Xenopus tropicalis: one gene and its partner. The protein of the gene in region 2 interacts with the protein of the main gene of each other region in a pairwise test. Links are inferred from orthologs where the notes say so. Each region holds a gene or a part of one and is shown on either strand. Other genes may lie near its edges. The genes, in order: atrip and cinp.

Evidence for each region.
Region 1: the proteins of cinp (region 2) and atrip interact in binary tests that used the Homo sapiens proteins (3 or more experiments, as listed by UniProt). The link is inferred for Xenopus tropicalis from reciprocal best matches to the Homo sapiens genes CINP and ATRIP.

Annotation. Positions count from the first base shown.
Region 1 is NC_030680.2:123,888,789-123,891,817, forward strand, and holds the end of atrip (ATR-interacting protein), read right to left. Parts: intron 1,771-3,029; coding exon 1,684-1,770; intron 1,469-1,683; coding exon 1,216-1,468; intron 945-1,215; coding exon 877-944; 3' UTR 720-876; downstream 1-719. UniProt on the Homo sapiens protein: Required for checkpoint signaling after DNA damage. Required for ATR expression, possibly by stabilizing the protein.
Region 2 is NC_030684.2:97,543,977-97,548,508, forward strand, and holds the start of cinp (cyclin-dependent kinase 2-interacting protein), read right to left. Parts: upstream 2,934-4,532; 5' UTR 2,830-2,933; coding exon 2,808-2,829; intron 1-2,807. UniProt on the Homo sapiens protein: Component of the DNA replication complex, which interacts with two kinases, CDK2 and CDC7, thereby providing a functional and physical link between CDK2 and CDC7 during firing of the origins of replication.

The DNA of each region.
Region 1 (3,029 bases), on a different chromosome or scaffold from region 2:
GAGTAGGCCCTTTATTTCATGGTGGTTTAGCTACTCTTTAATAGCTGACAAATAGTAGTTTTATACAAGTTGTTTATTCCGGATTTGATATAAATGTTTTTTGTTTTGTTTTTTGGTGCACTTGTTTCCTCTAAATGTAGGAGTATGGTTTCTCCTTTTTTTCCCCTAACCCCCCTATTTGCACAAAACTAGTTTTAAATGTTCTGTAAAGTTTCAATGCCACTGTTAAAAACTATTATGGAAAAAACACACGACCGGCCACTGTAGTGTTCCATGTTATAATGGCTGTGTTTAGTTAAACATTCTCTATCCAGTAAAGTTTGTTTTTTTTCATAAAGTGTTTCCTTTTTGAAAAAAAAAAAAAAAAAAAAGCATTCTATTCTTTCAAGATGTAAACGACACCATTTGTGTGCCAAGAAAGACGTACAGGTGAAATTGTCAGTCCCACAAGGAAGATGCAGTCAGATAGGATAGTCAGGAACTGTACTATTTTACTAACAAATAAAAAAAACACATCTACCTTTTGATAAAGTTTGACTTTGTGTATTCAGCTTTTATAGGAAAAAAAAAAATTGATGCACCAAAAAGTTTTGTTTTTGACCGTTCCAGCCTATATGTAAGGAATGTCTCCCAGCTTTTCAGCCCAAACCCTTTCTCCAGTCCAGATCTGGCACAATAAATAAGAGAGAGTGCAATAAATACAGCAGGTTTCATATAATTTTGTACAAGGTTGGAATTTATTTTATTTTTTAGAGTACAGTATTTACAGCTACACAATACTGAAAACAAATAGTAAAGGGTTTGCAGAGAGAACTGCACTGACATAAAAAGTTCATTAAAAGAGACCACAGCTTATAGGAAGACCCAAGGTAGCAGTCATGTGCAATCCATGTATTCATCCTCTGTTTCAACTTCCGGGGGGCAGAGCTCATCCAATGCATATTCTGTAACACATATATATAAGCTGAGAAGCCGCAACAAAGTCCATCCAGAAAGAATCAGAAGGAAGAGTTTTTCATGATTTTAATTTCCATAGTGGTAATGTAACAGCAAGGGGGCAAACAATCAGAATGTATCATTGACTACATGAAAACATTTCTGATTGGTTGTTGGTTACAAGATTTAAAGAGGACCTACTACCCTGCATTTAATATTTAGTTTAGTGCATAATTTAATAAAAAAAAGCAGGTAAGCAAATTTTGGAAAAATGTTTACCTTCATTTTCTTTCAACACCTGCACCTTCTTGAAGAGAGCCCGGACCCCAGGTAAGGCCTGGTCATACTGGTGCAGGACCTCCAGGCAGTGCTCATGAAAGTTCCTGTCCTTCTGAGAAAGAGAGTGCAGCAGCAGCACAGCGTCCCGCAAGAACTGCACCACCTTGTTTTTAGTAGTGGTCAGCAGATGGAGTGACAGGCGCCGCAAACCCAGCCACTCCCGGTGCAGCATCAGGACCACTGCTTTAACAACCTGCATAAAAAGGAGACAAGGGCAGGATTGGTAAATACACCGTAACAGCAACTGCTGATTAACTCACAATGATGGGCCTATCCAACCCTGCACGGCATAGCAGGATTATAAGAGGAGAAAATAGTTATATCTATAAATACATTTATCATATAAATACCAAACAAAATTACACCCAGCCTTTCATAACATTCTGGTAATGTGTCCCGGGAACTTACCTCCCGCTCACACTGGCATACAGTCTCTGAGGTGGTGTTGATTGGGTTCCAGCCTATCACAGACAGTTTGGTAAGGAAACGGACCACCTAGTAAAAAGCAAATCATTATCATATTATATATTCAATGACAGTATAAAGACATGAGGTGAAAGCCAAGTGCTTTAATGCAGGTCATTGGAACTTTGAGGTGACTACAAATATCCTTCTCTGGGTTGCATTGGGGGTGTCCAGGACTTCCACCCCAGTTGTTCCTGGATTATCAGCCAGCCAGCCACCCCCCCATTGGTTAATACTAATGTGCTAATTTATTAGGGTGCAAGTTCAAGGCCAATCTGGGCTGGCAGGGCCCACCAGGTTTTTTCCCGGTGTCCCGCCGGCTCAGTCCGACCCTGATCCTCTTTGAAACCAAAATTCATTTTTATATTTATTATTCAAACCCGTTATAAATGCATTTAAAAATCCCAGCTGTCAATCATAACTACCTGCCCCGCCTCTATGCCACAGCACTCACATTCCCCCAACCTTCTCACTATCTAATTGTGTAGCCAGTGCATGGGAAAGGGAACCAGGTCCCCCATTCTGGCACATACACTAGATTTGGGGGTGATACAAAGCTTGCCTTAATAACAGTGCCCACAAAATGGCAGCTGCCTGCGATTTTTATTTTCAAGATTTATATAATTTATACAGTTTGTGCAGTTCATTTTGCTTAACAAACACATTAGAAAAGAAATTGGAATTATTTCTTAGGGTGACAGGTCACCTTTAAAGCACAGTTAATCCTAGAGAATATACACTATTTATGACGCCTTAAAGGAGATCTGAAGTTTAACTGAAAAAGGAGGACAGAAATGCTGTACATTGTGTTTTGGGCTTCTGTACCAGCCCAAGGCAACCACAGGCCTTTAGCAGGGAAGATCTGTGCCCCAAAGATGCCCCAGTAGCCCCCCATCTTCTTTTCTGCTGATTCACTGCATAATATTTGTGCTGATTTACTCAATTATGGTGCAGGGTGCTAGTATATATCTAAATTTTAAGCCAGACAGATTGAGAAGTCAAGGGGAAATACTTCTAGATCTGCCTGTGCAAAAAGTATGCACCTGAAGAAATACAAATTTCAGGCAATATTCAGTGTTATTCTGTTTATTCTGGCAACAAAAAACTTTAACCTAGTGCAAACAAATGTAATAGTCCCCCATATTTGGAGGAGGTCTCTTAAATACCCATTTCTATTACAGAATCAACCACTCTGAGGCAGAAAAACAAATTTACATGTACAACACTGCTGCCTGCAAATTTACCAGGAAGGCATTGTTATAGTAAAGCAAAGAAGACCACTGAAAATG
Region 2 (4,532 bases):
GAGACCAATAGTTCTCTCCAAGCCAGGAGTTTTCATCCAAAAGCTCAGGTACGTTCTATTCCATTCAGTCAAATGGCTAGGGTTAAATGGATAATTAGTAATCATGAAGTGTTACCAGAAACAATTAATGATATTAAACAAATATTTATTGACAGGGGCTACCCAAGAAATATACTATAGAAAGCAGAAAATAAATTATTGGATTTGGACAGAGGATCATTGCTTCAAAATCAAGATAGAAGTAAAAGATAATATAGCATGTGTCCAAACCTATTGTCAATATTATTATAAAATTAAGGATATTATTTGACACATTAGACACTTTAAAGAAAAAAAATCATAATTCATCTCAGTTGAGAGTTCAAATATTAGAACATGTTCCAAGACCTAAGTGGAATGATGACAGAGAAAGAATAATTCTGTAACACAAAGCCAGATGGACATACAGACTGAATAAGGTATCACCTAAAGGCCTCAATGAACAGACTGAATATCATTGCTTTTTGTAAAATATGTAACTATATTTATTTCACATTGGGGCTCTCCAGTTTGGCGAGTATTATCCTCTACCGTCCATACTGGATTATGATAATATCTCTATTGAATATTTTAATTTTATTGTTGGTTGGCACTGTACAATGTCTATTTGGGCATCATTGCACACAAAGATTTTAATTAGGTTGCATTAAGGGTTTCTATCTGGCACTGGTGTTGACTGTCCTCTCACAAGATTGCATGTTGTTGGACAACTCTGATGTGAATTTGAATGAATTACAAACGTGTCTCATCAAGTAAATGTATTTACTGTATATTGTAATTGAGACCCTAAGCTCAAGTAACTGATAGCAGTAAAGTGCATGTGATATATATAATCAAAACAGGAAGAACTGGAAGCATTCTAGAAGGCAAAAACTTTCACTGTGTTAAGGTGGTACAGAAATCCAAAGCAAAAGGCACACCATATCTAACCTAAAGAATCCCTTTGCTGTTTTAGAACTAATTGTGAATGTGACTGAATAATTTCAGAATATTCTCACAGGTAATAGGTTTCTAATATCGTTTTACTGCCTTATCCTAACAGCCTGAAAAATTCAGGCAAACTAAATCCCTAATAAAGTTGAACTATGGGCACAACCACAGTCTGTCTCAAAATTTGAATGAATAGGTTTGAGCAAATTCAGATTTTTGTATTGCGTCTCTTGTTTGAATTGCGGCAAATCAAAAATACATTATAATTTTTAATTTCATGCACTGATCAAGCTATCACTGGGACTGATACATTTGATATGGCCCTCTATGGCCCTGTCCAATTAGAACCACAAAAAAAGCAAATGGCACTCAGGGCTACAAACAAGGGAAAACCCTTAAAAAGTTTATTGCGGAGGTGCACCTCCGCAATAAACTTTTTAAGGGTTTTCCCTTGTTTGTAGCCCTGAGTGCCATTTGCTTTTTTTGTGGTTGTACTGGTTTTGGAGGGTGCCGATCCCTCCAGCAGTGTGCACCGGGCATATAATTTTGGAGCGCTAGGGTGTGCGGATAAGGTCTCTGTAGTACAATCCTGTCCAATTAGACGCACATTTTAACTGCCCAGACCTGCATCTTTGTTTTGCTGTGTAGTGGATCAGGTTGTGGATAAAACTGGAAGTGACGTTAATACAAACCTGGGAAGCCTTCAGTGTGTAAATTTTCTGCATATCCACAAAGCAGCATTATGGTCCAGCAGATGGGTAATGACTGGCCCTGCTAAGTTTATTTATACACACTGGTAGTGAGGATTTCAGAATTCTTTAGAAAGCTATGAACTAAGTATTAAATCCTCAGACCCCACAATATAGATGTCTGTAAGTATTAATGATATAGGGCAGTGTTTTTCAACCTTTTTTGGGCAAAGGCACACTTGTTTCATGAAAAAAATCACGAGGCACACCACCATTAGAAAATGTTAAAAAATTTAACTCTGTGCCCAGCAGCAGTGCCCCCCTAGTACATTGGTGCCCAGCAGCAGTGCCCCCCTAGTACATTGGTGCCAAGAGCAGTGCCCCCCTAGTACATTGGTGCCCAGCAGCAGTGCCCCCCTAGTACATTGGTGCCAAGAGCAGTGCCCCCCTAGTACATTGGTGCCCAGCAGCAGTGCCCCCTAGTACATTGGTGCCAAGAGCAGTGCCCCCCTAGTACATTGGTGCCAAGAGCAGTGCCCCCCTAGTACATTGGTGCCCAGCAGCAGTGCCCCCCTAGTACATTGGTGCCAAGAGCAGTGCCCCCCTAGTACATTGGTGCCCAGCAGCAGTGCCCCCTAGTACATTGGTGCCAAGAGCAGTGCCCCCCTAGTACATTGGTGCCAAGAGCAGTGCCCCCCTAGTACATTGGTGCCCTGCCTACGGCACACCAGGCAACATCTCGAACAGTGGTTGAAAAACGCTGATATAGGGTAAACAAAAGTCAGGCCCTCCAGATATCCCCTCTTCCCTAGTGGACCAGTTCAGAAGACATCATTGGACACAGTAAGGCATAGGTAAGGGACAATGCCCTTAAAAATCATAGCAAATGGACAATGGCTTATTTATATTACATTCTAAATTCAAAATTCTACAAAAAGTCACCCACAGTAGCCCATTACTATTACAACCACTTATATTATACAAACGTGGGTGCTATTTGGCAGTCACCCTTCAGCTATACCTGCCCCGAAAGAAACCTTCCTTTTTTAAAACGTCTAGATTCGATGTTCCACTCACGCCCGTAATAGTCACTCTGCAACCTGAATTGGCAAAAGTCTGCAGTTTTACCAAACTTCCAAAGCAACTTACTTTCCATTGTATCAGCATACATTCAGTAGCACGGTAATCTGTTACATTCTATCTCACTCTACTATGCATGCCCTCTCTCCTTGCTCTCGGTTCCCATGTGCAACGCAGTGGAACGCAGTGGAACGCACACAACAATTTCCGCTTTCCGGACTAGAACGGAAGGACCGATTCATGCTAATGTGGGCGGTACCTAAGTGGTGTCTGTACAGTGTTGTGATTATAGAGAGTGGGGAGTATGTTTTAGCTGCGTCAGGTTCCTGGATGCGAAAGGGTTTTCAAAGCCGTGACTAACACTCGAGAAACAGGTGAGTGTGGATGAAGAAGCCCCCAAATACTTTAGAGGGGGCAGGAGAAGGCTTATATAAAACAGCATTGCTTAACGTTTATTATTCACTATATTGTACATATTTGGCATAGCTTCTCTTAGTGCTACTGAGCTGAGGCTTGCCAGCTGTTGCTCATCTGCTGTGCCATCAGCACTGTGCTTAATGTGTGTATCATCTACTGTTATTAAGCAAATATATGCACTCATAGCAAAAAGAATCTAGCAGCTTTCATCACACACTCCCTGCCTTTAGATCTAACCATAAAGTACATAACATGTGCCATCTGCTGCCCTCCTGCACTGTCATTAGCGCTGGATGGCCCTAGACTAGACATGTTTTGTATATATATTTATTTATGCACATGACACACACTGATCTTGATTAGCACGCTCCAATGTTACTGAACACTTTTATCTGCATTTAGTGTACATATTTTGTTTTGATGGTATATTTTGTCCTTTTTATCTTTAAGAAGCATCCTTACTTTTTCCAGAAAGCTGCGTAATGTACATCTGGGTGATTTCATTCATACTTCTCTTCTTGTAAGAGTATCTATCTATCTATCTATCTATCTATCTATCTATCTATCTATCATCTTTTGATACATCTCATCAAGAGAATTTTTAACATCTTTACAATCACAGCTGTCCCTAAGGATATTTGACAAATGTGGTTCCTTAATGTTCCATAAGGAAATTAGGTGCTAGCCTGTCTTTTATGCTTTAAAGACTTTATATACACAAATTATATTTTTAGTTATCAAGCTGTAAGGTAGCATGTTGTGGGCTTCTTTCAAGCAGTAGAAAAGGCAACACTGAACAGGGCCCTTTTTACCTCTTGTATTGGTTGATTTTGTTGAAAAATCTATTTGTTTAATATATACACCCATTCCTTGTGCAGTGCTTTAGAATATGTTGGCACTTTATAAACACATGATAATAATACATTACAATGCCTTTTAATTTGTTGTTAGGCAGCTATATCACTTAATTGCACAGAGTTTCAGTTACTGTAGGCTTGCCCTCTTTCAAGGGGCAAAACCCCACATATCTGGGGTTAGTACTAGCAGTCTACTTTTGGCAATGACGTATTAAAAGGTATTGGTTTATTGCTTAGGCTGTTCAGGAAGACGGTTCTCTTGAGCCAGTTGCTGACTTTCTAAAAGTAATAGTAGCTTCCAATAAGAAAACCTAGTGTTACAAAGTTCTACCAGAAGAAAGGCAGTCATTATATGACTTATGACTGTGATTAAACATTAGGTTTAGGCAGGGCTGTCCATCTGGTGGCCAGTGGGCTGCATCCGCCTTACAGGTGCACTATCTGTAGATCTTTCACAAAAAAATCCTCTGTTCTGGATATTCTTCCACGAACAACAAGCCTTGCTATATGACCCTCGGGC